Pelodiscus sinensis: one gene and its partners. The protein of the gene in region 3 purifies or fractionates together with the protein of the main gene of each other region. This does not show direct contact. Links are inferred from orthologs where the notes say so. Each region holds a gene or a part of one and is shown on either strand. Other genes may lie near its edges.

Region 1 (10,196 bases), on a different chromosome or scaffold from region 3:
GGACGCTACCAGAGCGCAGCACTCGGCCAGTGCCGGCCGTGATCACGGGGTTCTCAGCTCAGACCAAGGCTCATGATGGCTCCCTGCCCCAGAGGGAAGATTTCAGGATTTTACTATCCCCACTTCTAGATCTCCCACGTGCTCCCCTCTCGTAGCCCAGACCACCTGACACCAGGCACACGCACTGCCTCCAGCCCCGGAGCTCCTTATGTTGATACCACCAGCTGATCTGGGCAAACTGCCACCTTCCCACATCTTGCCCAGAACTGCTGTGTCATCCCCTCTCCTGTAAAACGCATTTCACATGACGGTTACTAGCCTGGCAGATGAACAGACACTGGACAAAGGGCACTGGAACCCACTGCCACGGCAGAGTCCCAGTCACGTTACTTGGGGGGCTAAGGCGCCTCCCTGCAGAGTCTGAAAGTGAACAGTCTTTCTACTTCCCCTTGGCGAAAGGGCGTATAAAAGGGCAGCTTTGTTATCAAGAGCCACAGTCTAATCTCATATTGAATAACAAAACCCTGCAATTCAACATGAAACCTTAGAGCCTGCTTACACAGGGCCAGAAATGACACACCCCACACTGGCTGGCTGAGGCTAGAAAGTGCTATCCTCAGATACGAGTTCAGGGCGGGTGCTGGGTGTTCCGGCAATGTGGGCTCTAGGGACGTGCGGAAGCATGTAAGTCGTTAACAGTGTAGTTGTGAAAGGAGGAACTGGCTGCTCTTTTGGGGTCTCAAGTGGCAGAGTCTGGCTGGAGGGCCAAACACTCCCTCTTCTTTGGGAACGGCTGCCTTCAGTCTGTTACGTCAGAGGGTAGCTTATTCAGAATGTTTTAAACTGGACAGGTGCAGCATGTCACAGTTTGAGGGGGAGGGGGGGGGGGTCACATTTTTCTGGCGTCTGTCCGAACAAAAGCTTTGCTTATCCCCAGGATTAAAATGACTATGAATGTAATGTGAGCTGATAGAGTAACCTGTGCTCCAGAGCTTCGCTAGACCCCAAAGTTGCAATATGCTGAATTATCCAAGCCAAAGTCTATTTAAGTGTTCTTATTTGGGGGGAGGAGGGGAAGAAGGGGGGGGGTTGCACTAGTTTAATTAGAGCCACGTTTCTCAAACCATGGGTCCCAATCCCCAGGGGGTTGCGAGCAACTTGGGGGGGGGAGGGGGTTGCAGTATCACAAAGTTTGAGCGCCCCTGAAATAGTGATGCAACTTCTCTTCAAAGACAAGTGCCTGAAATCAGCGAGGAAGACATGCATGCGTTTAAGGGTGAAGGCCAACATTTACAAGAGACCGGCATTGTTAAGTATTTCTCCACAGATGGAGCAGTGTGAAAAAGGAGCACAATCCTATTGGAAAGGGGCATTTCACTCCTGGTGCCTACCGCGGGGCTTGTGGGCAGAACACCATTTCTTGCCAGTTCAACACCTATTTATTCCCAAGCCACTGTGCCTCCTTTTTGGGGGGTAAACGTGATGTGTTTCCTTGTGTTCTTACACATACTTGGGAAAGTTCTTATTTGGGTCTTGTTTTCACCACAGATAACCTCTTTGCCTAAGAGGAAACAATCGATAACTCACTCCTGTGTGACTTTCAACATGAACAGGTAAGGGAGACGACTCCTTCCTTTGAGTAATGACAATTCCAAATGTTTTTGTGTGTAGTAGAATTTAGGGGTGTAAATCCTGCTTAACCAATTAAATGGGGGTGGGCACGGCAGGGTTAATGCAGACCCCTCCCCCAACGGGCAGTTGCTCCAGCCCACCAGTTAACCCTTCTCATCCCTAATAAAATTAGCGACGAGGAGTCCTGTGGCACCTTATAGACTAACAGATGAAATGGAGCATAAGCTTTCGTGGGCAAAGACCCACTTCCTCAGATGCATCTGATGAAGTGGGTCTTTGCCCATGAAAGCTTGTGCTACAATTCATCTGTTAGTCTCTAAGGTGCCACAGGACTCCTTGTTGCTTTTGCAGATTCAGACTAACACAGCTACCCCTCGGATACTAATAAAATTAGGTCACTAGGCCTGTGTCTACATTACAAGCTAGAGCTGTGATTCCTGACACACATACATCCTTGCACTGCAAACTGAAATTGCAGTGCAGCTGCCAGCATGGGCTGCAGTGGTGCAAATTAGCTGGGCTGAGCACAACCCCCAGAGACACCACCACGCTTCCCTGCCCACCCCGATCTCTCGGTAGACTGTGTTTTGGAAGGGTTGCTCATCAGGAGACGCTTGTAAACTTCTCTCAAGCCTGAGGCATCAGCCCTCTGGCCAGTTGAGCTTTGGAGAAAGTCCAAGTCAAGCACGGAAACCTCCTCCCCGCCCCAGCATGGTCAGTGTAACAGTGACTGAGAAGAACCGGACTCATATGCGATGTGACAAATTTACCTACCCCACAAACACAAGGAACAGGCTGTGCAGAAAGAGTGACCTGCCAGGCCCCGGGTGCTAGTGGGAAGGAGACCTCTGACTCAGAGCAAGGCTGGTCTCCACAAGAGCAGAACTGGGCGCGGGCTGTGTGGGCTTTGGGCTGGTGCTGAGGGTCCCAGTGGCAATAGCCTGAGTGAGGACCGGGCTTCCATAGCCCACCTGCAGGCGTGGCCCTTTGGGTGCAGACAAGGCCGGGGCAGGGAGGAAGAGGCAGAGAACAGGCACGGCTGGGGGGTGTTGAATCAGTAATATGGTTCTTCCATGGTTAAGTGTCCGGTACCCAGAGCCCTCCCCACCCGCCCACCTCCCCTCGGTAGCGGGGCCGCAGGTGGGGCTCCCCGTCTTCCCGGAGGCAGGTAGAAAGCGGTGTGTCCGCGCTGGGGCAAAGTCGGGCCCCAGCTACCCCGCAGTCAGCCACGGCCCTGCCCCCCACGCAGGGGGCACCCCGCCAGCGCGTCCCTCCCCTCCCAGTCCCGCAGCCCAACCTGGCCCGGTAACCCTGTGGGCGCTGTGAGAGACCGACCCCCCCCCCCCCGCCCGGTAACCCCGTGGGCGCTGAGACCAGACCCCCCCCCCCCCCGCACAGACCAACCCCCCCGCCCGGTAACCCCATGGGCGCTGTGAGAGACCAGACCCCCCCCGCACAGACCGACCCCCCCGGCTCGGTAACCCCATGGGCGCTGTGAGAGACCAGACCCCCCCCGCACAGACCGACCCCCCCGGCTCGGTAACCCCATGGGCGCTGTGAGAGACCAGACCCCCCCCGCACAGACCGACCCCCCCGGCTCGGTAACCCCATGGGCGCTGTGAGAGACCAGACCCCCCCCCGCACAGACCGACCCCCCCCCCGCCCGGTAACCCTGTGGGCGCTGTGAGAGACCAGACCCCCCCCCCGCACAGACCGACCCCCCCCCCCCCCCGCCCGGTAACCCTGTGGGTGCTGAGACCAGACCCCCCCCCCGCCCGGTAACCCCGTGGGCGCTGTGAGAGACCAGACCCCCCCCGCACAGACCGACCCCCCCGGCTCGGTAACCCTGTGGGTGCTGTGAGAGACCAGACCCCCCCCCCCGCACAGACCGACCCCCCCCCCCCCCCGCCCGGTAACCCTGTGGGTGCTGAGACCAGACCCCCCCCCCCGCCCGGTAACCCCGTGGGCGCTGTGAGAGACCAGACCCCCCCCGCACAGACCGACCCCCCCGGCTCGGTAACCCCATGGGCGCTGTGAGAGACCAGACCCCCCCCCGCACAGACCGACCCCCCCGCCCGGTAACCCCATGGGCGCTGTGAGAGACCAGCCCCCCCCCCCCGCACAGACCGACCCCCCCGCCCGGTAACCCCGTGGGCGCTGTGAGAGACCAGACCCCCCCCCCCGCACAGACCAACCCCCCCGCCCGGTAACCCTGTGGGCGCTGTGAGAGACCAGACCCCCCCCCGCACAGACCGACCCCCCCGCCCGGTAACCCTGTGGGCGCTGTGAGAGACCAGACCCCCCCCCCCCGCACAGACCGACCCCCCCGCCCGGTAACCCTGTGGGCGCTGTGAGAGACCAGACCCCCCCCCGCACAGACCGACCCCCCCGCCCGGTAACCCTGTGGGCGCTGTGAGAGACCAGACCCCCCCCCCCCGCACAGACCGACCCCCCCGCCCGGTAACCCCGTGGGCGCTGTGAGAGACCAGACCCCCCCCCCCCCGCACAGACCGACCCCCCCCGCCCGGTAACCCTGTGGGCGCTGTGAGAGACCAGACCCCCCCCGCACAGACCGACCCCCCCGCCCGGTAACCCCGTGGGCGCTGTGAGAGACCAGACCCCCCCCGCACAGACCGACCCCCCCGGCTCGGTAACCCTGTGAGAGACCAGACCCCCCCCGCACAGACCGACCCCCCCGCCCGGTAACCCTGTGGGCGCTGTGAGAGACCAGACCCCCCCCCCCCGCACAGACCGACCCCCCCGCCCGGTAACCCTGTGAGAGACCAGACCCCCCCCCCCGCACAGACCGACCCCCCCGCCCGGTAACCCTGTGGGCGCTGTGAGAGACCAGACCCCCCCCCCCCCGCCGCACTCACGAGCCGCCCAGGAACTCGTGGAAGCGCACGCGCCCGTGCGTGGTGTCCGCCTCGAAGTCGGGGGCCAGGTCTCCCAGCAGCAGCCCGGGCATGGCGGCGTCTGGGGAGCGCGCGGGCTGCGCCTCACACAGCGCCTCGGGGCGGGGCCAGGCCGGGGGCGGGGCTCGGCCTGGCCAATCGGGAGACGGGGGCGGGGCAGACGGGTCCGTTCAACGAGCAGGGCAACGCGTGATCCCCACCCCCAGCCCAGCGACGGCGGGACACCACGTGACCGGAAGAAGCGGCGCGGCCGGGCGCTGCGAAACCCAGGACTACGCAGGCGGCGGAAGTGACGCGGCACGCACGCGCACCCGTTGACGCAGAGCGGCGCGGAGGGAGCCATGGCGACCTACGTGAGCGAGCTGGAGGCGGCCAAGAAGAACCTGAGCGAGGCGCTGGGCGAGAACGTGAAGCAGTGAGTGTGGCCCGGCCCCCCCCGGCCCGCGGGCCTGCCCCCCCCTGCGCCCTCCGGCCCGCGGGTCTGCGCCCCCCGGCCCGCGGGCCTGCCCCCCCTGACCCCCCGGCCCGCGGGCCTGCGCCCCCCGGCCCGCGGGCCTGTCCCCCCTCTGCCCCCCCGGCTCGTCTCCCGCCTCGGCCCGGCCTGGGGGCAGCGCGCGGGAGCCGAGCGGCGGCGGACCCGTCATGCTCGGGGGGTGGGTAACGGGCTCCCCCCGGGCTCGCACGTGCGCACCGTGACACCGGCCTCGCGCCCCCCCCCCCCGGGGCGGGTGGCAAATCCCGGCCCGCAGGGTCCGTCTCAAGATGTGCAGAGGTCTCGCAAATCATGAGTGATGGAGAAATCGACTGGGGAGTTCAGTTACTGCTTTCTGGAACGCAAGCAGTACAGATCACCCAGTGCAATTAATGGGCACTAGGTTGAAAACAGCCATCAGGGAGCAGGACTTCACACAGTGCATAGACAGCTGGTGAGGCTCGTTGCCAGGGAATGTTGTGAAGGCCAACATTTTAACAGGGTTCATAAGAAACCACAGAAGTTCCTGGAGGATCCATTTATCCGTGGCTATTAGCCAAGGTCATCTGGGTGTCCATAAACTTCTGACTGCCAACAGTCAGGGCTGGAAGATGGGGGATGATTTACTTGAAAATTTTTCTGCTTTGTTCCCTTTGAAACATCTGGCACTAGCTGCTATTGGAAGTTAACTGTTTTTTGGCATTTACGGCTGGGTGGGAACTAGGGAGGAACGGACGTTATATTAAAACACTGCTTCATATTAGATTTTTCTGAAATATATAAAAAAAAGCTACATGTTGGACTTGAACTACATGACTGTCCATTTAAGAAATGGGAAGCAAGAAATAGCTTTAGTAGGCAAAACAGTGTTCTTTACGGGGCATAATGTTTTCTCTCCTATGCACAGATACTGGGCAAACTTGAAACTTTGGTTCAAGCAAAAGATCAGTAAAGAAGAGTTTGATCTGGAAGCTCGCAGACTCCTCACCCAAGACAATGGTAAGAGACAGTCCCCTGGGAGAGCTCCTTTTTCTCTGCATCTCAGATTTCCCCAGAATACCAAATTCTGGGTTAGTCGCTGTTTGCTACAGAACAATGCAGCCACGTGAAGTGTGACTCCACAACTCCGTCTGCTCCTCTGGAACATACTGCCTCTTGGGCCACATAGCTACTGTTGAGATGAGAATCTTCCCTTTATGGCTCCTAATTTCATATAGAGGCAAAAAAGTTTGTCTAATAAATTAACTGGGGGTGTCCTCAACCAGGGGAACAAATGGGAAAACATGGTTGTGGGAAGTGTAAACACAATCACTTGATGGGGTAGCTTTAAGTAGCTGCTTTTGGATTGTGTCTGCCATTTTGCTAATGTGAGTCTCAGTCTTCAAATACCATTTTCTCTCCTGGTATCTCTGTGAGTCAATGGTCTTTCTTTTCACAGTCCATTCTCACAATGATTTCCTCCTGGCCATTCTCACCCGGTGCCAAATCTTGGTTTCTGCACCAGGTAAGTGAACAAAAGATCATATGGCATACCTTTGGGACGCGTTTGTGGTGGGCTTTGTTTTTAAGCTATATGCTGTGACTTATGTGCTCTCAAATTGCATGCTCTCCCTTGCTATGGCTTGCGTGCCGTATGACACTGAGAACCCTGATTGCCGCTTTTAGTTACGACTGTGGAATAAATATGATCATCTTCGTTACAAAACGAGCATTTCACACGCTTAACTACAGACTAGTGCCCTGCAATTCCAAGAAGGGGACCCAGGTTTGATTTCTTGTCTCCTGTTGCTTTGGCTGTGAGTTCGACAAGGCACGGTGCTCTGTAGGGCTGAGGTTTTGCTCCATGTTCTCCAGCGATCTGTGAGAATGGCGGCAGGCTCTAAAAGAAACCGGGCCTTGTGTCAGACCAATGGGAACTGAGCCAGGGAGGGAGGCAGCACTTAGAGACATTTTTTTTCCTCCTGTCTTGCCTTCAGAATAGAGGGGAGGGTGGGAAGCAGTTGGTTGTGAAGTTTTTAATTAAAATGTCGCCAGTGACTTGAACATTCTTCTGGTAAGCCCTTGCAGCTGCTATCACATTATGTGTGGTGCTGCACCTGTTTGTGGTGTCTTGCGAGTTTCAGTGTTGCTGATATCAGAATGTATCTTGGAAGGCTGGGCCAGAAAATTAGCCAGAAGGCCTCTTAAGAGAGAGTGTTTCAAACTGCGAATTAGAGCATGAATTTGAGACTGCTATGAGGTTCAGGGACTAGTATGTTAGGGTCTTGTGCGGAGCCAGCTGTATCATTTATGCTGACTGTATAGTACACTGTAACCTGGCTAATCAGGTACCAAAATCTGTCCATGTAACCTTTGCTGCTTCTCACTTGATTTTTTTTTTTGCATTGGGTTGGCTGCAGCAAATACACTGCATGTGATTTGTTTTGTAACCAAACCTCTGAATAAATCTGGACAGCGTGTACGGCAGACTGACCATCCTTTCCAACGGGTCACGGCAGTGCCTGGGATTGGGCTGTTCTGGTTCCATTCCCAGGAGCGGCACAGCTCTGGCGGTCGGGGAGCTTGGCTCCTGGTCAGACACCTAAATGTCTGGCCAGATTTTCAGTAAGGGCTTGGAGCACTCAGCACCTCCTGCTGAGAACAATTATAATGTCACCTCCCAGGAGTGAAGTGAGGATAAATCCATAAAAAGTCGGGAGCACTTGGATCTTACAGCAATGGGTTCTGTGAAGTCCTCGTCAGACAAGGCATCACACAAAGTCTCTTTTCAATAAAAATCACACTAGAGCCGCTCACGTTGGGTTTCATGTTGGTGATTTCAGGGGAGGTTTGTGTTAGACACCTGAGAGTACTAAGCTTGTGGAAATTGCTTGTTTCAGTGTTTTTGTTCCCGGGGAGACTTCAGAAAAGTTAGCTGCCTTTTTGCTTTCCCATTCTGAGGGGCTGCCTCCTGAAGTGTTTCACTAATCCCACCTTTTATAGAGACCAAGTTCTTTTTCAGTGCTCTTGGGCTGACAAAGCCTTGGACCTGTATTCGTCTACACCTCACACTATGAATTATATCCGAGTTGGTAATCTGTTTTGATTCAAGGGCCAGTCTGACCATGTTCCATTTGTCTCCAAAGAAAGAGGGTGAGGGGGGGTGGAGAAAGGAATAAAGCAACAATGGAAAACGGAAGATGATGCTCAGAGATTCTCCTAACCCTGTGTCTGTCTTCTGGCCAAGAGACTAAAATACTGAAAAGCAAAGAAATAAGCATTTAGTACGGGTGGGTTCTTTTCTGAAACGCATCCTTGAAGGCTCATCTCTCATAATACCTGTCTTTCCCTTTCTACTCTTGCTGATGTAGAATGTGCGCTGGGAAATCTCACAAGCCTGGAGAGAAGCAGCGCTTTCCTCTTTCTCCACTTGTTGCCTTTGCTCACAAGGCTAGAAACTGGCTAGCTCCACAATGGATTGGTTCCCCCTGTTCCCCCCCAGTACCGTCTCCGCAGTGCCAGCTGGCCCCCCCCTTGCCGCTGCTGCCTCTATTGCGCCGCTGCTGTGGACATGGGCTACTGGACCCAGTGCAAGCCAGGACTAAGCAAGCCCGACCCAGTCCCGGTTCATACTGGGTCCGGGACCTACCCCCACCACTGCTCTGCAGTTGAAATATAGTAAGGGGCGGGCAGGCAGCCCAGCTCTTACATTTAAACTGCAGAGCCGCAGCAGGAGCACCTTCCCTATCAACTCATCGTGTAGTCGATACAACATACAGACGGTACAATTTGTACTTAAAAGAAGTACTCGGGATCGTTTTCAGAGGGATAAGGCAACACGCCACATTTATTGATCTCACGTAGAATAATCAATACTTATCATATGCATATGAGATATGTCACTCATGCGTGCGCGCGCGCACACACACACACACACAAGCACACTCCGTCTTGCTCTTGTTACCAACAAGTTGCTCCCCTTAACTTCACTGGCCAGGTGAGTTAGATGGGGGAGGGGTGGAGCCGGGCTTCTGCCGATCCGGATCAATGCTCCGATGGTGACAAGACGAAACCCGGGGCCCTCTGCAAGACACCTCACTTTTATAGCAGCTTCCTTCTTTTATGCAAATATATCCCAGATTCAAAATCTGGGTCTGTGTCCATTGGTCCCTTTGTGCTGCTTCTCTCGGGTGTTGTCTGTTCAGAGAGGGGGTTTTCCAAAGAAGGTGCCTGCTTCCAATCCCCAAGGCTGTCAGTATGTCTGCTCTTCTTTCTTCAGCCCACTTGACACCTTGGGTCTGGCTTCCACTCCCTCTTCAACTGGTGTAGCTGTCTGCGAAAAAAGCACAGTATAGTTCAGATAACTTCCCTCTGAAGTAATAGAATATTGCTCAGCTACATGGTGGTAGTAGGTGAGAGTGTATAGTAGAAAGGGTACGTGCATTCCAGTTGGAAAGGGTGGACGTGCTCTTCAGAGGTGTCAGAACTGTGTGGTTTCGTCTGATTTTTGAGTTGCATGAACTTAATTATATTGACTCCAAATTGGAGTGACCTCCCCCCGCCCCACACACACTTCCCCTTCTCTCCTATTTTCAGAGGGCCCTGGGCCTCTGCCATGGACAGGGGGCTCTGCGACTAAACCTGGAAAGCCCAAAGGAAAGAAGAAGTTTTCTTCAGTTCGGCAGAAGTTTGATGTAAGTTTTTATTCCGCAAAGGGTCTTGGCGCTGCTAACTGCTCCAGGTAGGAAGAGCTGGCAGCCTGTGTGCGTGTTAGCGGCTTGGCCGAGACACTTCGTTCCAGCAGAGCCTTTTGCAGTAAAGCGGTAAGTACTAAAGTGAGCGAAGGTCGCTGTTCCACATGATCGAGTTACCCAGAGTGACTTGCTGTGTGAGTGAGGCTGGCTGGGCTACCCTATGGAAGTAGAATAATGGGTAAAAATTGCTCTAGCGATTCAGACAATATTTCTTCCTCTTCCCCCAGTTTTGGCTGAGACGCTACCAGCTGCTTCTCAGTGGATTTTTTTTTCTGTGCTAAGTGAGGGTGTGAATCTGATTAATGGAGAAATGCGTATGTTTGGGGGTGGACTTAAAACTTGCTTTGTTTATTAAAAAAAAAAAAACTCTGATAAGGTGAGGTCACAGAAAACCTCCCGGGGTGCTGACTCGGCCACTGCCGCTCGCCTTCCTGCTCTCCTCAC
Region 2 (10,556 bases), on a different chromosome or scaffold from region 3:
TCATTGAGAGAGTGTCCTTTCTGGTTAAAATGGCAAGAAACTGTTTTCTCTTTGTGATCTTGTCTGATATCTGTTTTGTGGGCATTGATCCTTTGGCGAAGTGTCTGAGATGTTTGTCCAATGTACATAGCAGACGGACACTTTCAGCACATGATAGCATAGATTATATTTCTGGATGCGCAGGAATATGTGTTCTTGATCTTATAACTCACTTGGTTAGGTCCAATAATGGTATCAGCAGAATGAATATGTGGACAAAGCTGGCAACGGGGTTTGTTGCAAGGGAAAGTACCAGGGTTGGTATTAGTGTGGTATGTCCTGTGGTGGTTGGTAAGAATCATCTTGAGGTTAGGTGGTTGTCTATAGGAGACTATGGGTCTGTCTCCCAGAGCCTCTTGGAGTATGGTATCCTGTTCCAGTATAGGCTGTAGTTGGGGGGTCAGTGACTGAGGTATTGGTTGGGGTGTCGGTGATGGGGTGTCGGTAGGGGGGTCAGTGACTGAGGTATTGGTTGGGGTGTCGGTGACGGGGTGTCGGTTGGGGGGTCAGTGACTGAGGTATTGGTTGGGGTGTCGGTGACGGGGGTGTCGGTTGGGGGGTCAGTGACTGAGGTATTGGTTGGGGTGTCGGTGACGGGGTGTCGGTTGGGGGGGTCAGTGACTGAGGTATTGGTTGGGGTGTCGGTGACGGGGTGTCGGTTGGGGGGTCAGTGACTGAGGTATTGGTTGGGGTGTCGGTGACGGGGGTGTCGGTTGGGGGGGGTCAGTGACTGAGGTATTGGTTGGGGTGTCGGTGACGGGGTGTCGGTTGGGGGGGTCAGTGACTGAGGTATTGGTTGGGGTGTCGGTGACGGGGTGTCGGTTGGGGGGGTCAGTGACTGAGATATTGGTTGGGGTGTCGGTGACGGGGTGTCGGTTGGGGGGGTCAGTGACTGATGTATTGGTTGGGGTGTCGGTGACGGGGTATCGGTTGGGGGGGTCAGTGACTGAGGTATTGGTGGGGTGTCGGTGACGGGGTGTCGGTTGGGGGGGGTCAGTGACTGAGGTATTGGTTGGGGTGTCGGTGACGGGGTGTCGGTAGGGGGGTCAGTGACTGAGGTATTGGTGGGGTGTCGGTGACGGGGTGTCGGTTGGGGGGGTCAGTGACTGAGGTATTGGTTGGGGTGTCGGTGACGGGGTGTCGGTTGGGGGGTCAGTGACTGAGGTATTGGTTGGGGTGTCGGTGACGGGGGTGTCGGTTGGGGGGGCAGTGACTGAGGTATTGGTTGGGGTGTCGGTGACGGGGGTGTCGGTTGGGGGGGTCAGTGACTGAGGTATTGGTTGGGGTGTCGGTGACGGGGTGTCGGTTGGGGGGGTCAGTGACTGAGGTATTGGTTGGGGTGTCGGTGACGGGGTGTCGGTTGGGGGGGTCAGTGACTGAGATATTGGTTGGGGTGTCGGTGACGGGGTGTCGGTTGGGGGGGTCAGTGACTGATGTATTGGTTGGGGTGTCGGTGACGGGGTATCGGTTGGGGGGGTCAGTGACTGAGGTATTGGTGGGGTGTCGGTGACGGGGTGTCGGTTGGGGGGGGTCAGTGACTGAAGTATTGGTTGGGGTGTCGGTGACGGGGTGTCGGTAGGGGGGTCAGTGACTGAGGTATTGGTGGGGTGTCGGTGACGGGGTGTCGGTTGGGGGGGTCAGTGACTGAGGTATTGGTTGGGGTGTCGGTGACGGGGTGTCGGTTGGGGGGTCAGTGACTGAGGTATTGGTTGGGGTGTCGGTGACGGGGTGTCGGTTGGGGGGGGCAGTGACTGAGGTATTGGTTGGGGTGTCGGTGACGGGGTGTCGGTAGGGGGGTCAGTGACTGAGGTATTGGTTGGGGTGTCGGTGAGGGGGTGTCGGTTGGGGGGTGTCAGTGACTGAGGTATTGGTTGGGGTGTCGGTGACGGGGTGTCGGTAGGGGGGTCAGTGACTGAGGTATTGGTTGGGGTGTCGGTGACGGGGTGTCGGTTGGGGGGGGTCAGTGACTGAGGTATTGGTTGGGGATTCGGTGACGGGGTGTCGGTAGGGGGGTCAGTGACTGAGGTATTGGTGGGGTGTCGGTGACGGGGTGTCGGTAGGGGGGTCAGTGACTGAGGTATTGGTTGGGGTGTCGGTGACGGGGGTGTCGGTTGGGGGGGTCAGTGACTGAGGTATTGGTTGGGGTGTCGGTGACGGGGTGTCGGTTGGGGGGTCAGTGACTGAGGTATTGGTTGGGGTGTCGGTGACGGGGGTGTCGGTTGGGGGGGCAGTGACTGAGGTATTGGTTGGGGTGTCGGTGACGGGGTGTCAGTTGGGGGGGTCAGTGACTGAGGTATTGGTTGGGGTGTCGGTGACGGGGTGTCGGTTGGGGGGGGCAGTGACTGAGGTATTGGTTGGGGTGTCGGTGACGGGGGTGTCGGTAGGGGGGTCAGTGACTGAGGTATTGGTTGGGGTGTCGGTGACGGGGTGTCGGTAGGGGGGTCAGTGACTGAGGTATTGCTTGGGGTGTCGGTGAGGGGGTGTCGGTTGGGGGGGGTCAGTGACTGAGGTATTGGTTGGAGTGTCGGTGACGGGGTGTCGGTTGGGGGGGTCAGTGACTGAGGTATTGGTTGGGGTGTCGGTGACGGGGTGTCGGTTGGGGGGGGTCAGTGACTGAGGTATTGGTTGGGGTGTCGGTGACGGGGTGTCGGTTGGGGGGTCAGTGACTGAGGTATTGGTTGGGGTGTCGGTGACGGGGTGTCGGTTGGGGGGGCAGTGACTGAGGTATTGGTTGGGATGTCGGTGACGGGGTGTCGGTTGGGGGGGTCAGTGACTGAGGTATTGGTTGGGGTGTCGGTGACGGGGTGTCGGTTGGGGGGGTCAGTGACTGAGGTATTGGTTGGGGTGTCGGTGACGGGGTGTCGGTTGGGGGGTCCGTGACTGAGGTATTGGTTGGCGTGTCGGTGACGGGGTGTCGGTTGGGGGGTCAGTGACTGAGGTATTGGTTGGGGTGTCGGTGACGGGGGTGTCGGTGGGGGGGGCAGTGACTGAGGTATTGGTTGGGGTGTCGGTGACGGGGTGTCGGTTGGGGGGTCAGTGACTGAGGTATTGGTTGGGGTGTCGGTGACGGGGTGTCGGTTGGGGGGGGCAGTGACTGAGGTATTGGTTGGGGTGTCGGTGACGGGGTGTCGGTTGGGGGGGGCAGTGACTGAGGTATTGGTTGGGGTGTCGGTGACGGGGGTGTCGGTAGGGGGGTCAGTGACTGAGGTATTGGTTGGGGTGTCGGTGACGGGGTGTCGGTTGGGGGGGTCAGTGACTGAGGTATTGGTTGGAGTGTCGGTGACGGGGTGTCGGTTGGGGGGGGTCAGTGACTGAGGTATTGGTTGGGGTGTCGGTGACGGGGTGTCGGTTGGGGGGGCAGTGACTGAGGTATTGGTTGGGATGTCGGTGACGGGGTGTCGGTTGGGGGGGTCAGTGACTGAGGTATTGGTTGGGGTGTCGGTGACGGGGTGTCGGTTGGGGGGGTCAGTGACTGAGGTATTGGTTGGGGTGTCGGTGACGGGGTGTCAGTTGGGGGGTCAGTGACTGAGGTATTGGTTGGGGTGTCGGTGACGGGGTGTCGGTTGGGGGTCCGTGACTGAGGTATTGGTTGGCGTGTCGGTGACGGGGTGTCGGTTGGGGGGTCAGTGACTGAGGTATTGGTTGGGGTGTCGGTGACGGGGGTGTCGGTGGGGGGGGCAGTGACTGAGGTATTGGTTGGGGTGTCGGTGACGGGGTGTCGGTTGGGGGGTCAGTGACTGAGGTATTGGTTGGGGTGTCGGTGACGGGGTGTCGGTTGGGGGGGTCAGTGACTGAGGTATTGGTTGGGGTGTCGGTTGGGGGGTCAGTGACTGAGGTATTGGTTGGGGTGTCGGTGACGGGGTGTCGGTTGGGGGGTCAGTGACTGAGGTATTGGTTGGGGTGTCGGTGACGGGGTGTCGGTTGGGGGGTCAGTGACTGAGGTATTGGTTGGGGTGTCGGTGACGGGGTGTCGGTTGGGGGGTCAGTGACTGAGGTATTGGTTGGGGTGTCGGTTGGGGGGGTCAGTGACTGAGGTATTGGTTGGGTGTCGGTGACGGGGTGTCGGTAGGGGGGTCAGTGACTGAGGTATTGGTTGGGGTGTCGGTGACGGGGTGTCGGTTGGGGGGGTCAGTGACTGAGGTATTGGTTGGGGTGTCGGTGACGGGGTGTCGGTTGGGGGGGTCAGTGACTGAGGTATTGGTTGGGGTGTCGGTGACGGGGTGTCAGTTGGGGGGTCAGTGACTGAGGTATTGGTTGGGGTGTCGGTGACGGGGTGTCGGTTGGGGGGTCCGTGACTGAGGTATTGGTTGGCGTGTCGGTGACGGGGTGTCGGTTGGGGGGTCAGTGACTGAGGTATTGGTTGGGGTGTCGGTGACGGGGGTGTCGGTGGGGGGGGCAGTGACTGAGGTATTGGTTGGGGTGTCGGTGACGGGGTGTCGGTTGGGGGGTCAGTGACTGAGGTATTGGTTGGGGTGTCGGTGACGGGGTGTCGGTTGGGGGGGGCAGTGACTGAGGTATTGGTTGGGGTGTCGGTGACGGGGTGTCGGTTGGGGGGGGCAGTGACTGAGGTATTGGTTGGGGTGTCGGTGACGGGGGTGTCGGTAGGGGGGTCAGTGACTGAGGTATTGGTTGGGGTGTCGGTGACGGGGTGTCGGTTGGGGGGGTCAGTGACTGAGGTATTGGTTGGAGTGTCGGTGACGGGGTGTCGGTTGGGGGGGGTCAGTGACTGAGGTATTGGTTGGGGTGTCGGTGACGGGGTGTCGGTTGGGGGGTCAGTGACTGAGGTATTGGTTGGGGTGTCGGTGACGGGGTGTCGGTTGGGGGGGCAGTGACTGAGGTATTGGTTGGGATGTCGGTGACGGGGTGTCGGTTGGGGGGGTCAGTGACTGAGGTATTGGTTGGGGTGTCGGTGACGGGGTGTCGGTTGGGGGGGTCAGTGACTGAGGTATTGGTTGGGGTGTCGGTGACGGGGTGTCAGTTGGGGGGTCAGTGACTGAGGTATTGGTTGGGGTGTCGGTGACGGGGTGTCGGTTGGGGGTCCGTGACTGAGGTATTGGTTGGCGTGTCGGTGACGGGGTGTCGGTTGGGGGGTCAGTGACTGAGGTATTGGTTGGGGTGTCGGTGACGGGGGTGTCGGTGGGGGGGGCAGTGACTGAGGTATTGGTTGGGGTGTCGGTGACGGGGTGTCGGTTGGGGGGTCAGTGACTGAGGTATTGGTTGGGGTGTCGGTGACGGGGTGTCGGTTGGGGGGGTCAGTGACTGAGGTATTGGTTGGGGTGTCGGTTGGGGGGTCAGTGACTGAGGTATTGGTTGGGGTGTCGGTGACGGGGTGTCGGTTGGGGGGTCAGTGACTGAGGTATTGGTTGGGGTGTCGGTGACGGGGTGTCGGTTGGGGGGTCAGTGACTGAGGTATTGGTTGGGGTGTCGGTGACGGGGTGTCGGTTGGGGGGTCAGTGACTGAGGTATTGGTTGGGGTGTCGGTGACGGGGTGTCGGTTGGGGGGTCAGTGACTGAGGTATTGGTTGGGGTGTCGGTTGGGGGGGTCAGTGACTGAGGTATTGGTTGGGTGTCGGTGACGGGGTGTCGGTTGGGGGGGTCAGTGACTGAGGTATTGGTTGGGGTGTCGGTGACGGGGTGTCGGTTGGGGGGTCAGTGACTGAGGTATTGGTTGGGGTGTCGGTGACGGGGTGTCGGTTGGGGGGGGGGAGTCAGTGACTTTCCCGCCTTCCGAAGGCAGCGGCGGCTCCGGCCGCCTTGCCCCGCCCCCGCGCTGAGACAGGCGGAAGCCGCGGCCACTGAGCGGGGCGGGTGTGGGCGGAGCCAGCGGGGCCCGCCCCCGGCCGGCCTGGTGGGCACGAGCGAGCGCGCCTGCGCGGCGGCGGTGGAGCCGGGTCGATGCTGAGCCGGAGCCAGAGCGAGGCCGGGGCGGGCGGCGTCGCCAAGCGGGCGCGGCCCGGCAGCCCCCCCGATGGGCTCCGCACCCCCGAGAAGCGGGCCCCGGCCTGGGCCCCCCCCGCGCTCCCGCCCGGGCCCCCCCCGCGCCGCTGGGACACCGAGCAGGTCTGCGACTTCCTCTGCCGCAGCGGCTTCGGCGAGCCCGGCCTGCTGCGCCGCGTGCGAGGTACCGGGGTCTGCGAGCCGGGGCGAGCTCCTCCGGGGGGGCTGCCCGCCCCGCCGCCGCGCTGGGGGGAGGAGCCGCGGGCGAGCGCCGGGCTGGGCTCTGCGCCCCCCCCCCCCCGGGCATGCCGCCTGCTCCCCCCCCGGCTCCCTGCTCCCTCCGGGCATGCCCCGGCTCCCTGCGGCCCCCCCCGGCTCCCTGCAGCCCCCCCCCCGGGCATGCCGCCTGCTCCCCCCCGGCTCCCTGCGGCCCCCCCCGGCTCCCTGCAGCCCCCCCCCCGGGCATGCCGCCTCCTCCCCGGCTCCCTGCGCCTCCCCCCCCCCCGGGCATGCCGCCTGCTCCCCCCCCGGCTCCCTGCGGCCCCCCCCGGCTCCCTGCAGCCCCCCCCCCGGGCATGCCGCCTCCTCCCCGGCTCCCTGCGCCTCCCCCCCCCCCCCCCGGGCATGCCGCCTCCTCCCCGGCTCCCTGCGCCTCCCCCCCCCCCCCCCGGGCATGCCGCCTGCTCCCCCCCGGCTCCCTGCAGCCCCCTCCTCCGGGCATGCCGCCTGCTCCCCCCCCCCCCGTCCTGCAGAGGCAGCGGCTTCCCGGGGCAGGGGAGCCCATAGCATGGGTCAGGGGGACTCTTGTGCAGTTCGGATCCGCACTGGCGTGCAGCCGGGGGCACTAGACTTGCCACTGGCCCGGGCCGAGTCCGCACCCCGCCGTTGGAAGGCGCAGGAGCGCTCTGGAGTATGAACGGGGGAGTGCGGAAGTGCCCGTGACTAGTGGGTGGACGTGCCATTGACCGCTCAACTAGTCAATTAACATCCTGAGTCTGCAGAGCTCCCGCTCACCCGCTTCATTTCCTTTGCCTCCTCAGGATCTAATTCCTCTCCAAGAAACATGTTGCATTAAAACAGGGGTGTCCAAACTTTTTTCAAAGAGGGCCAGATTTGATGAAGTAAACATGCGTGAGGGCCGACCATTTTGCCTGACATTCTTTGAACCATTAAAATTAAACACAAATTAACTATCTTATGCAAAGTTTATTGCAAACAGTATACTTTTCATTTCGTCACATGGATGACAAATCTTAACAGGTGTTAAATCACTCTGCCTTTCATATCTGAAGGCCAGATGGGAAAAAAATCCAAGAAGCTGAAATGTCAGGAACATTGTAAAGTACATTACATATTATTGGTAATAAAGGTTGTCTGTCAACTTTGAAGTTAAAAAAAATATGAACAGGAACATAACACCAAGTATACATGTTGTGTCCAAATAGATTTATAACTGATTTAGACCAACTGACATTAACTGAGATTTTACAATGTATTCATCTCAATACATATGGATTCGTTGGGGGCCGTAAAAGATAGATATTGCCAAATTACCTGTGGGGCCATATTAAACCGGAACACAGGCCGCAATTGGCCCGCGGGCCGGACTTTGGACATGCCTGCATTAAAACAACCAATATACAATGAGTGGTTGGGGGGGCAGTTGAGGAAAGGTGATAGTTAATTACATATTTTTGGAAAGCAAAAACAATATATGTACAGGGTGTTTTTTGTTTGCCCACTTAAATCAGTAGTGGGCAAAGTATGGCCTGTTGAACCCTTCAATCTGCCCCCCAAGCTCCTCTAGGCAGGCTGGGTCAGAGCTGCCTTGGAAGGAGGTGCCAAACCGACTATTGGGCAGTGCAGCAAGCTTGTGGGGGCTTATGCCTTCCCTTCTGCCACCCATCCCTCAAAGCCTCAGCTCCCCTAGTGCCTGGGCCGCATGGTTGCCACTCCACCAGCCCTGATGGTCTGGGTGGCATGGCTGCAGTTCTGGACATCTGTAGTGCTCCGGGTGGTGCAGTCACATGGTGGGAAGGAGGGGAGGTTGGATAAGGGTCTAAAATTGAAGTAAGCTAAAATGAAGTGGTAAAGATAACAGTGCTAAAATACTTCTATATGAAATATTTCAGCAACTTAAATACGTAGGGGAAAGCCTAGACATAAAAGTTATTCCTTTCACTCCTCAGAAAATCAGATAACCGGAGCAGTGTTGCCTTACCTCACTAAATCTGAACTTAAAGACTTAGGAGTTGGGTAAGAACAACTTTTACTAAATTTTTTAGAGTGGTTCCTGTGTGAGAAATTTTGGTGATTTAGTAACTTGGGACTTGCTGTTTCTTCAAGTGTCCAAGGCTTTGCCTATGTCTTAAATAAAAACAAGTCGTGAATGTGGTGGTATAAAGCAATGTTTCTCAACCTTTTTTTTTTTTTTTTTTTTTTTTTTTATAAAGTACCCCTTTTAAAAAAAAAAATTTGTAAGTACCCCCCAGTACCTACAGGTTTTCAGACACACAATTTTTTTCTACTATTGCAACACATTTGTTTAAACAGCTTAATCGTAGCCAGGCGGGCAATTACTTTTTTGGGTATAAAAAGTACAAAAATAATAAAGCACTGTAAAACTTAAAACAAAAATTCAGTTTTGTCCAAGTTACAGTTGTGTTGATGTAGCCCCCCCCCAGACTTCTCTCAAGTACCCCTAAGGGGTACTCGTACCACTGGTTGAGAAACATGGGTATAAAGGATCTGTTGGTACTGACCTTCACTGAAACTAACCAAACTTTAATAATACATCTTGGGAAAGACAAGTCGTCATCACTTGATTGACTGCAAATGTTGTCCTTGATTTCTGTGGCATGATATTTTAGTATGTTGTCTTTGTTAGCTCACCTCTTTTTTGCTATTGTGTAATTTCAGCTATTCATGTCAAGGCTGACAACCTGTTATAAGTGAAACACCTTGATATGTTTGGAGAGATGTGTGAAAGGGTGTATTTTGTAAAAAACGACTTGATCAAAAATAGGAGCTGTAATTATTTGAAAAGAGATATATAAGCCAGTTGTTTAAACAGAGCTAAAAACTGAGGATTAGGGATGTAAAATCCAGTTTAACTGGTTAACGGGTTAAATGTATTGTTTAATCAGGTCCCTGATTAAAGGGGAGGTGGGCAGGGGGTGCCGCTCCAGCCAGTTTGGGCTATAGCAAACCCCCGTGTCTCATGCAGGGGCTGCCCCTGATGGCAGAATATGTAACTTTCCGAACTATTAGAAAAGAGATGTCAAAACCATTTACAGGGAAGAGAGGTTAACTAAGCACAAGGGAGGTAACTAGAGCATAATTTGGATTGTTAATCTGTAGTTGCATATATATTATCAAGAGTTGTGGATGCTGGTGTATTTCACGTGTATGGTTCAGTGCAGAGGTGCTGCCCTGGAGAATTGGATTCTATTCCTGAACTGCCACACAGTCCCTGTGTGATGCTAATCAGTTCAGTTTAACTTTTACAGGTGGTCACGCTGCACTCATTTTCTGTGGACTGTAATTTTCAGGTTTTTTCCTTGCTCAGTTCATGGCTCCAGGCTTTATTTACTGTGTACTCTTAAATCTTAGTCTCAAGATGGAATTATTAACTTCCCAATGGGCTTTTCTCTGGTGCTTATCTCTACATTATCTGCCTTATGCGCAAATACTGATTTTCACAACACACTTCTGAGGTGAAGAGTTGGTCTTATAGAGATGGGGGCAGAGAAATTAAAGTCAAAACTGTCCACTAATTTTGAGTGTCGAACTTGAGATACTTAAGACCTGATTTTTCAGAGAACTAGGAATTAGTATGTTCAACGCTTAACTCTCAGTGACTGCAGTTTCAGTTGTGCTCAGCACTTACGCAAATCACACCCACAGGTCTAGGAATAAATGGTCAGCATTCAGAATGGAGACAAGTAAATGGCTGTGTCTGTCCGGGGTCTGTTCTGGGACCAGTCCTGTTCGACATGTTTATTCATCAGTGATCTTGAAAAAGGGGTACACAGTGAGATGGCAAAACTTGCAGTTGATATAAAACTACTCATGATAGTTGAGGCCCTGGCAGACTGTGAAACGCTACAAAAGGATCTTTCAAAGCTAGGTGACTGGGCAAGAAAATGGAAGATGAAATTGAATGTTGATAAATTCAGTATAAAGTACATGGGAAAGTACAATCCCAACTGTACATTTGGGATGTGAACGGGTAATGGATGAACTGGTACTGGGGAAGTTAAAATGTTTGTTTGTGTGAAAATTTCAGCAGTTACACATTTACATGCAGGGAGGAGCTGCCCCTTGCCCCCCCACTCCTTCGCTGCTGCCTTTGTATCAAAGGAAGCTGCACGGGGGGGGGGGGTGAGGGCAAGTGGGAGCCAGTACACGCAAGGATATATCTATCCGTCCTCACTGGAGCAGAGACTAAAACGAGTTCCACTTCAATGTCAATAAAACAGATTCTAGTTCCCAAAGAGAACAGAGGATCATGATCTATTTCTGATCTAAGCCAATTTAACATCTGAAAGTGTAAAATGCCACCCAGTCAGATGGGTATC
Region 3 (10,251 bases):
GGAGGGACAGGGGGAGGACATACCATCTCGGCAAAGATGCAGCCCAGGCTCCAGATATCCACAGCCGTTGAGTAGTACTTGCAGCCGAGCAGGATTTCAGGGGCCCTGTACCAGAGAGTCACCACCTGGTGAAGGGGAGGAAAGGGGAGATCCTTGTTAATTGTGACAGGGGCATCGATCCCCCTTTCCGCTCCACGGACCCCAGAGGGCTTTACTCACAATCGGAAGACGCCATAACCCCCATTCGGCAAATGGGGAAACCAAGGCACGGGACAGGCCGCTCACCCAAGGAGAAAGCGAATTTCTGGGGGAGTGGGGAACAGAACCCAGGAGTCTGAGCTCCCGGCCTTGTGCTGTAACCGTTACACACTCCAACCCCGGCAGGACTCCGACCCCGGAACAAAGTGGCAGGGCGAGAGGTCCTGGACCTGGGAGCCTGGTGCATGCCCAAGGGAAGCAGCCAGATCTCTCCTGCTCCCTAGGCCCTGTGGTGGCATGGCTGCCAGGTTCAGCCCTGGGGGAACCAGCATGGGCCGGCCATGATCACCCAGTCCCATCACATACATGCCGCAGGAGGCGGGATCAGCCAGCCGTTCTCAGCAGGAGTGGGGGGTCCTGGTGCAGGGAGGACAGGGATACTCCGCCCCATCAAGAGGCACCTACCCCAGAGAGGTGGCCCCCATCTCACTGCCTAGCCCCCGGATCCCAGCAGATGGGTGGAGGGGAGAGGAGCCCTCCAATGCACCTCGTGGGTGTAGGTCCGCACTGGCACGCCGAATGCCCGCGCCAGCCCGAAGTCCGCCAGCTTGATGGCTCCCTCGGCATTGATGAGCAGGTTCTGGGGCTTGAGGTCGCGGTGCAGCACCCGGTGGGAGTGGCAGAAGGCCAGGCCCTGCAGTAGCTGGAAGAGGTAACTCTGCAGCAGGAGGCAGACAGGGCTGGAGGTCAGAGGAGAACTGGGCTCGCGGGGGTAGGGGGTGTGAGCAGCGTGCCGGCCAGGCTGGTTACCTTGATGAGGGGCAGAGGGATGCCGCTGACGGAGGACGAGTCCATGAATTTCTTCAGGTCCTGGTGCAGGAACTCGAAGACCAGGTAGAGCTTGTTCTCGGTGTGGATCACGTCCAGCAGCCTGGTGAGAGGAAGGAGAAGACGTCACGGCTTCTGCCCTGATTAGAGGGCTGGGGGCATTCGCACTCTGTGCCCCATGCCCCTCTCGGCCTCTGCTGGGGCTGCCAACCATGGAAGTGGGCAGCACCAGCGTGACAAGCTTGCGTGCTGGGGAGCCGGGCCAAGACCAGCCATGTCTCACAGATGACGGCCACATGAAAGTCACGGATCTGGGTGCTCCCTCCCCCCCCTCCCGGGGGGATGAGGGCTCTGGATCCCAGCAGCCCAGCCACCCTCCTGAGATGTCAATAACACGCCCTCCCCCACTTACTTGACGATGTTGGTGTGGTTCAGCTCCTTGAGCAGGGAGATCTCCCGGATGGCCGTGCTGGGGACACCCTCCGTCTCTCTGCAGTGGGGGGGGAAGCCATGAGGAGCCTGACAAGCTCCATTCTGGGGCTCCATTCGGCCCCGCTCTAGTGACCTCACACCAGGCAGCCTAACGACTCTGTCCCAGCTCAGACCTGCCCTGCAGCCCACACAAGTGCCAACTGAGGGCAGCAGTGACAAGCCAAAAGCCCTTTACCCCGATGTACCACCATGGAAACTCAGCCACCTCTGGGGTAGAAGCAACAGCGAAGAGAGGGGGCAGCTTAGGACACAGGGAAGCAACTTCTGCTCCCCCTCGGGATCCTTAACATCGGTCCAGAGCCAACAAGGCCCTGCTTGGACTCCTGCCCCAATCACATCTGGACCAAACCAGCTGTCTGGGTCGGAACCTGGGAGCCCAGGGCTCTCCAAAGGCACTGCCCTGAGCGCTGCCCATCCACTCCCAGAAAGAAACTGACGTGCTCACGCCAGGGGCCAGAGCACCAGCTGCTGGACAGGGCACCAGCTGCAACATGCAGCAGAGCAGCCCTGGCCTGGGATACAGCCAGGCCCAACCCCATTGACCGAACAACGGCCAGTGACAGAGCATCTGCCACAACCCTTGGGCGCTCGTTCCAGTGGCGAATGACCCTCGTTGTTACAAACGTGGGCTTTATTTCCCAGACCAACTCGACCTCCAACTTCCTGCCACTGCATCTCTTAGACCTTTGTCCGCAAGACTGACAAGGCAGTGGCCAAATTCTGATTCCCCAGGTAGGGGCTCTTAGACCAAGGGCAGTCAAGGCCCAGGCTCCAGGGAACCCTTTTTCACACAGCGATGTATTGAGAGAGTTTGAGAGTCTGTCTGTTCAAGGACTCCTCCTAAATGCTGAGAGCTAGGACCACCAAGGTCAGTAGGCAGCTTCCTCTTATCATAACTTAAAGCCAGGTCAGGGGTTGTGCCAGGGAAATGGGATGTGTCTGGAATGGGACTGCTTCTCAGAAAACCGTACAAAAAAGTCAGCCACCAGGCAGGGGAAAGGGGTTGCCCCCCATGGGACTGCCCCAGCCCTGAGCCTCTCGCCTCCCACCCCCCAGGTACCCTTTAGGAAGGGAACTCCCCCCCCCCACACAATTCGTACGGGAACATTGCTGGCTGTTCCTCTTCATCAGGTAGCAAGGGGAAAATGCACCATTTGCTGCATTCCTCACTCTGGCTAGGGGGCGCAGGGGGCAGACAAACCTGGATCTGCCCCGGACGAGGGACAAGCACAATAATTAGGACCTGAGCAGCACCAGGTAAGTCTTCCAGCAATAAATAACGAATAAGTAAAGACAAAGATTTTGTGGCCTATTCAGAAACACCTGGTGGCCTGGACTTGGCTCGCGGTCCAACCTGTTGACTAGGCCGGTGACTGCTTACCCTGCTCCTTGTGAGGCTAAACGCTCGGACCTCCCTGAGTCTGTCCCTCCAAGGCGGGTTTTCCAATCCATTCATCATGCCCCTGGCATCTCCGAACCTCACCAAGAGACCCACACCCCTTGTAGGGTGGACACCAGCCCCAGATTCAGACTTAATTCTGAGAATGGCTGTTAAGCACAGCTACAGGCAAAGCCTAAGGAGTGTGGGTCTGAGTCTCTCCCCCCCGCCCCGTGACCTTTGTCAGGGCACCAGTGAAGAGTATGGGGCAGAACTCCCCCACTCACCAGAAATGGGGCTGTAGAAATGGTGGAGGGATGCAATTCCTGCTGCACCCATCACCCCACGGGTTCAGCTGGGTGGACTTAGCCCAGGGAGAACAGGAGCTGGGAATTGCTGGGAAGCCTCCAGCGCTCCCATGGAGAGGGTATGGGGTGCCCCCCCCCCAACACCAGCAGGGCTGGAACAAGTTTTATGGGGGGGGGGGGCGCTGAGAACCTCTGACCCCAACTGTAACGCCTGGATATAACGGAAACCACTTTAAGTGGGGGGGGGGAGCGCTGCAGCAGCCCCGCACCCCTACTTGTAACGCCCATGCCCAGTCCTAGTGCTCAGACCGCCCCACCTTGGCTGCACGTGGACTCAAGCCAAGTGCCCACTGACAGCCCGTCCCGCAAGGACCGGGGGGGGGGGGGGCTTTCTCCGCCAGATCTGCAGGCCCCGGGGCACCGCACTTCCCCCGGGGCGGTGTCCTGCAGAAGGCCCCGAGCCGGCCGGGGAGGTGCCGACTCCTCCCCCCAAAGCTGGAGCTACCCCATGAACGGGTGGGGGGGGGTACGGCCCCTTCGCGGGGGGGGACTCACGTATCCAGGCGGATCTTCTTCAGCGCCACCACCTCGCCCGTGGCTTTGTTCTTGGCCTTGTAGACAACCCCGTAGGTGCCCTCGCCGATCTTCTCCACCTTCTGGAAGTTCTCCATGGGGCCGGCCCCGGATCGGGCCCGGGTGCCGGGGATCGGGCCCGGCAGCGCGTTCCGCGTCCCCCGGCGGTTACCAGCCCACCCCCCAACTGGCTACAATGTAACCCCCGGCCCGGCTGCTTCCCGCGTTCCACTCGCCCCGCCCCACCCGCCGCGCCATTGGCTGGCGCCCGGAGGGAGGGGAGGAGCGCGCTGGAGGCGACGCGGGAGTCTCCTTAAAGGGACAGGCCCGGAGGCAGGAGCAGCCCTCCCCGCTTGTAGGGGCGGCCGGAGCCAGGGTGCCCCTAAGCCCTAGGACCCCCCCATGGGTGTCAGTGAGGGAGCCAGGCCAAAGGCTGCTCCCAGCTCCGTGTATTATTGGGGTGATTTCCCCAGTTCCCCTGCTGGATTCCTTGAGCCCCCTGAGCTGTGTCTAGGGGGATGCACCCTGTGCCCCTCCCCTAAGGAGACTCCCCCATTATTTAACTCCATGTGCCCCCCCTCCCAGGGGACTTGTCCTCTCTCCTGTCCCTCCTGCAGAGGCTCTGGCTGGGTCTCTATGAAGGGGACTCCAAGGGTTGGATTCCCATCGATTCCTTTATTATTTCAGTTCACGTGCCCCGGCTCGGGACCCTGTTTCTACACTGCCTAGGAAGCCAGGGCTGGGTTCTGCCCTGAGGACCTCGCTGGGAACCAGGACTTTCAGCTTCCTTTGAAACCACTATGAGCCAGCTCCTGAAAAGCATGGAGGCTCCAAGCTTCCTTGGAGGTTCTGCACCCACGGCCTCCTCTGCAGTGGGATTTTCAACCCTAGCAGCCAGCCAGCCACGTGACCCCCTTGCCTGGCCTGCCAGAGCCGTACTGAGCAGGGCAGCACGACAAAGCTGTGCCGCTGGTTGGTGAGATGCTCCTGACTTGAGCAGGGCCTAGAAGCACCTGCTCTGGGAACTTCAATCGGGCAGACAAAAGAGCCGGCCGTGGGAGGCCGCGGAGTTCCTGGGGAACTTGTTTTGTCCTACACTTTGTGAGCCTGCGTGCTATTCGGAGTGATGAGCTCATGTGTGTCTTGGTGATACGCTGCGCTTGCTGCCTGCCGGGGCTCAGCTCCTGAACGGGCACCCAGGGGGTTGCTGGTGTGAGGCAGGTTTATTGTTTGAATGGGCTCTCTTCATTTCCCTGAGCCCAGGGTCTCCTCACCAAAGGGTTCCAGGTTCACCAGTTCCAGGTGCCTGCCCAGCTCTCCCCCTCTGTGCAGTACACGCTCCGAGAAAGTCCATCATTATGGAGCTATGCACGAACCCTGGTTATCTCAAATGGAAATTCCTGACCACTTCAGTCCAAACACAGGGGTTTAGGTAAACAATCAAACCCACGTATTAACTACAGGAAGATCGATTTGAAGTGATGACAAAGGAATAAGGCATGAAAGTCAGAATTGGTTACAAAGAAATAAATGATAAAACACAAACTAATACTTTACTTAGTTAGGTGAACTAAGAGCAGCTGGATTTCTGTCACCATATTTTAACAGCAGTCTGGCTGGATTCCTTCCACCAGGACCCCTCTCCAGTTCACCGACACTTCCTTTGTCTTTGAAATATTGTTGAAACCCCCAGTACAGATGAAGAGAAAGATGTGATCGGGGTGGGGCCTCTGTTCCCCATTTTCCTCCTCTTTGAGAATCATCCCCAGCTGGGGTTCAAGTGTCAGCCAGCCTGTTCCTCTGTCAAGCCGTGAATTTCTTGTTCGCACCCTTCTTGCTAAAGAAGGGCTGCCTAACCAGGGAACAGTCCAGTTGGTTTTGCTGACTCCTGGCAGAAGCATCAGTTTGCCTTTTACTTACTGAAGAATTTATTTGTGCTTCTTCCCCGATTGGAAATACACCCGTAGTAACATCATCCAATGGAATCTTATAACTTTACATACAATGTGGCCACACCTATTTTAACAGGACAATAATGATCAGTGAATTATGGATTTTCAGATGATCACTCACAAGGCATATTTTGCACAAAATTTGTCAAGGGCTAATAAAAGTGGTAAACATAAGGGCACAAGGGAAACATGGGTTTATTAAACAGGATTTTGCTGATATGTCTAGTGTTTGGGGGGGAAGCGATGCAGCAATCACTTTCTTAGCAGGCTAATATCCTGAACACATGGGCCCAGATCTGCAAAGGAATTTAGGCACTTAACTCCCATTAAAATCATTGGAAGTTTGGCTTCTAAATTCCAATAACTCCTGGGAATTCTCTCTCCCAGTTTGTTCCTTTTATTTAAGGGACACAGACAGAGTGAGAATGATACATCTAGAAAACAAATTCCCTCCCCGGTGCTACTAATATCCTTTGCACCGCACATAATTAACGTGCGGAACTCACTGCTGCATGGTCTTGCCACAGCCAAGAGCTTACTGGGCTTCAGAACAGGATTTGGCATTCGTTCTGCTGCCCCTTTTGCTGAGCAGTAGCAGATTCTGGGGCCTTCCAGGTCAGTTTCTGGTCTGGAGCAGCCATGGGTGATGCTGTCAGGTATCTCCTTAGTGTGGCTTGTCTGTTTATGATGGGTACAAAGTTCCGGTTCCTTTGAACCGAGGTGGGAGCAGGCAGCAGCTTCCTGTGCAAACAGGGTGACAGCACATGCAGCTGTGCCTCTCATGCAGCTGTCTCCTGTGCCTTGCTTCAGGGAACCACAGAAAATCCCACAACAGCTTGATGCCACTGTTCCCAACTCCTCCTTTGGGGGCCATTCGCCACGCCCCAGCTCCCTGCGGTGCTGCCAGCTCTACTCATGGTGCTCTGTATGGGAGGAAAATAGGCTAGTCAACGTCCCGTTAGCCCCTTGTCAATTACTGGATCGCCCCAGGTTGCAATGAGCAATGCCATTTTGATTGGAACGTAGTGATTCACAGCAATCGCTCTAAGCCAGGCCTGTCCTGAACAAAACCTGGAAAATCAGGGGTCCCTTGATTTACATGCCCTTGTTCTACTACTGGCACCCCACAGAGCCAGGTAATCCAGCTTGTCTTTCCTTCCCATTCACAAGCTAACCGAGCACGCAGGAGTTGCACCGGTTTCATATACAGTGGTTTGAGAGTGGATTTAGTAACACCAGCCACCTCCCCCTCCCACTCCGTATGCATCTCAGTTAGTGATTTACTACACGGTCGATCAGCGTAGCTCACATCTACAAACACAGACACATGCTAAACCACTAGAAGGTGGCAGAGGGGTAGCCATGTTAGTCTTTAATATTAAAAACAATGAATAATCCTGTGGCACCTTAGGGTGTGTCTACACTGCACCCATACCTTGAAAGGGCATAATTTATTTCGAGGTAATTTCAAAATAGCTTATTTTGAAATTTGGCACCAACTACAGATCGCCAAATTTTGAAATAAAGCGTTACTCCGACAAGTCCCTTAACCCTCGTGGAATGAGAATAGCATGACCGTTATTTCGAAATAACGGGCGCGTTTAAAGACTCAGAATAGCTATTTTGGGACACTTCCAGTATCCCGAAATAGCGCCAATGTCTAGACATGGCCTTAGAGATTAACAAAATATACATAGTTTCATTAGCTTTTGTGGGCAAAACCCACTTCATCAGATGAGCTGGAGAGGGATAACAGAAACTCAGAATTCATAAGTTCTAGTGTTCTATGATTCTATAACAGAAAAAAAAAGGAAACACTTTATAAGGTGGGTTTAAATCCAGTTTCAAGAGTGTCCACAGACAAAGTTGCATGGGTTTAATTGGACTGGCTTTAAATCACCCCTTAAATTAATCAGGTGAAGTCTGTATGTTCACCGGGTCTAAGTCACTCGTGTTATAGAATGTTCCACTGGAAGGCATCTCCAATTTGATCAAACTAGTTAGCTTTTTTGCTCCACTCCTGCTGTCGGAAGGCTGTCTCGGGCCATCAAGGAGCTACATGTGACCTGCAAACACTGGATAGGACCTATGGTGGAGGAATCTACCTATCCGGTCTCTGCTATTTCAGGTGGAAAAGCAGGAAGTTGACAACTATGGAATTGGCTGCTCACAAAAGACATTTCTGCCTTGCCCCTACGAACAAGAGACTGGATCATGTTGAGAGCCCTGTGGGTTTATGGGTCTGATCCAACCCCCGCTGAAGTCAATGGAAAGTTTCCTTCGTGTGCCTACTTGGTCTATTTCAATTGTAAACTCTTTTGGGGGTGTGTGTGTGGCAGCTGTCTCTTGTACAGCATCTGGTACAGTGGGGCCCTGTTCTCAGCCGGGCTAACATCATACATACAACCGGACTGTATACCCATCCGCTTCTTTCTTTGTTTACAGCTGCTAAGTGCTTGGTTTCAGTATCTTGCAGCAGTGAGCTCCCTTGGTCAGTTTTCCGTGTGCTGCACCTCTCCTGTCTCCTGCCTGGGGAGAGGGTGGCTAGAAGCTCCGGCCTGCCAAGTGCTAAGTGGCACCTGCTTTGCTCAGCATCGAAGTGGCTTGTCCTTTCGCCCCCCAACCCAGCAGTGAGGTCGTATCATGGGTTCTGCGTCCCTCCTGCAGCTCCGTGGTAATTAGGCCCTTTCTTCTCAGAGCGGAAACCGGCCTCTGTTCTTCCCCACTGAAATTCCAGGGTCTGTCTGGAAGGCACAACTCATGCGGCCCCATTGTGCTCGAAACACAAACTTGTGACTGGCCATCACCCACACACCCCACTGCTGGAGGGAGGGGGGATGAGATTTTCATGAGGTCATGCCAGGAAAGGGGCGGGGCTAGGCAAATGAGGCCTCCTTCTTATACAGGGTGGCCGGGGTGCTTGGCTTCTTTCTGCCTTCGCGGAGGGGTCCCAGGGAGCGCGGGGCAGGTTGGGAGATGCAGACAAGCTGGTACTTGGTGGCAGCCTGGGCGCTTCTGGCTGCGGCGACAGCTCAGCACAGTGAGTAGGGTCCTGATCCTTGGGCTTGGGGGGTGGGGGGCTGGGTTCTGTAGGGTCCCATCTGACCCACCCCCAGCCAATTCAGGGTCAATCCCTGTTGCAAAACACTGGGGCTGCTGCCAACAACCCCCCAGCATCTCCACTAAAGTCCAGGGGCTTCTCATCAGCCTGCGGGGGGGGCACATTTCTCGGGGGGGGGTAGATGATTTTGGATGCAGTGATGCTAAAATGTGAAAGTCCTGTTCCAGGAGGGAACCAAATTGCTATAAAGTTGCCACAGAGCAATGGGGGGGGGGGGGGCGAGTGGGAATATCACATAGATCCAGATTCCAGACCTAATGTGGGGGGCTGCACCCCGGCAGAGGAGCCAGCCAGCCAGCCTCCCCTGGCTGGGTCAGCGCCTCCGGGTGGCGAGTGTGAGCAGATGGGGCCAGCCCGCTGGGACCCCTGAGCAGGAACACTCAGGGCCCGCTCCTCATTGTTTCTATAACCAAGACCTGGGTCTGCCCACATCTCATGCCCCCCCGTGGCATCAAAGCCTGTGGGTGCCAGGACGGCCGGGAATCCAACCTGCAGGGAGCAGCCCGGGCAACGCCCGCCCACTGGTCCCGAGTGGGACTCGTCTTCCCAGATCAATGGGGGCCGGGGGCAAAGCCGAACCACATGGGGAGCTGGCTCAGAGCCCCTGCTAATCCCTCGCATGGCCTGGCATCTGGGCTGGGCTGGGAGGCAGATGCTGCGCTGCTGGAAGGGCTGGGCCTGGCTCCTCGCATGCTGAGGGTTGAATCGGGCGGGGGGGGAACCCACCCAGCCCCGGACACTGCGGATGGAGCCTGCGGGGCAGGGGGCAGGAGGCGGGGGGCTGGTCTCTCTTTGCTGCTGCAGGTTGCTCTGCTGCCCCCTGGGGCTGACGGGGAAGTTGACAGGGCAGCAGCCCCCAGGGAATATCCGTACAGCTCCTTGCGCTGTGCCTGGCGTGGGGGGGGTTTCCCTCCCTCTCTGCCCCAACCTACTGCAGCGCGGGGCTCTTCCCCCCACCTCCCGCTGACCTCTGCAGCCAGGCACCTCCCTCTCTGCTGGTTGCCTCGCCCTGCAGCCCCCCACGGCCTCCTCCCACGCCGCCCGCCCCATGCCTAGAGCTAACACTGCGCCTGCAGCAGAGGGAGGCCTCCGCTGAGCTATCGGGGCCTGGATCCCAGGCCAAGGGGCCCACAAGCGGCAGGTTCCGCCGGGGTGCAGCTGATTCTCTGCCCTTAGCCCTTGCTGGTCTCCCCTGGAGCCTGTCTGCAGCAGGGAGCCATCCCAAAAGCCTCGCTTCCCAGCTGAGTGGCACTGTGGGGGGGACTGATGCAGCCAGCCCGTCTGGCTGCACGGGGGGGAGGGGGCGCTACGAGTCAGACCATTTCCCTGGGAAGCCTTCCCTCCCTGCCCAGGCATCCCAAAGTGCGTCACTGCCTCATGACAAGGCACTGACACTCCCCC

What was found. The genes of interacting proteins can lie anywhere in the genome.
Region 1: the proteins of CDK2 (region 3) and PRDX6 purify together in Homo sapiens (affinity purification with mass spectrometry; 3 studies listed by BioGRID, with this or other methods). This does not show direct contact. The link is inferred for Pelodiscus sinensis from reciprocal best matches to the Homo sapiens genes CDK2 and PRDX6.
Region 2: the proteins of CDK2 (region 3) and SAMHD1 purify together in Homo sapiens (affinity purification with mass spectrometry; 3 studies listed by BioGRID and IntAct, counting the BioPlex papers as one, with this or other methods). This does not show direct contact. The link is inferred for Pelodiscus sinensis from reciprocal best matches to the Homo sapiens genes CDK2 and SAMHD1.

What each region holds. Positions count from the first base shown.
Region 1 is NC_134719.1:64,645,351-64,655,546, reverse strand, and holds the start of PRDX6 (peroxiredoxin-6), read right to left. Parts: upstream 4,669-10,196; 5' UTR 4,601-4,668; coding exon 4,509-4,600; intron 1-4,508. Other genes in the region: TADA1 (transcriptional adapter 1), read left to right, coding at 4,889-4,962, 5,927-6,018, 6,458-6,523, 9,595-9,692. UniProt on the Homo sapiens protein: Thiol-specific peroxidase that catalyzes the reduction of hydrogen peroxide and organic hydroperoxides to water and alcohols, respectively. Can reduce H(2)O(2) and short chain organic, fatty acid, and phospholipid hydroperoxides.
Region 2 is NC_134728.1:32,935,796-32,946,351, forward strand, and holds the start of SAMHD1 (deoxynucleoside triphosphate triphosphohydrolase SAMHD1), read left to right. Parts: upstream 1-5,888; 5' UTR 5,889-5,934; coding exon 5,935-6,160; intron 6,161-8,165; coding exon 8,166-8,232; intron 8,233-10,556.
Region 3 is NC_134729.1:4,333,152-4,343,402, forward strand, and holds the start of CDK2 (cyclin-dependent kinase 2), read right to left. Parts: upstream 4,012-10,251; 5' UTR 3,876-4,011; coding exon 3,760-3,875; intron 1,517-3,759; coding exon 1,439-1,516; intron 1,130-1,438; coding exon 1,009-1,129; intron 917-1,008; coding exon 746-916; intron 126-745; coding exon 24-125; intron 1-23. Other genes in the region: melanocyte protein PMEL, read left to right, coding at 8,706-8,769. UniProt on the Homo sapiens protein: Serine/threonine-protein kinase involved in the control of the cell cycle; essential for meiosis, but dispensable for mitosis. Phosphorylates CABLES1, CTNNB1, CDK2AP2, ERCC6, NBN, USP37, p53/TP53, NPM1, CDK7, RB1, BRCA2, MYC, NPAT, EZH2.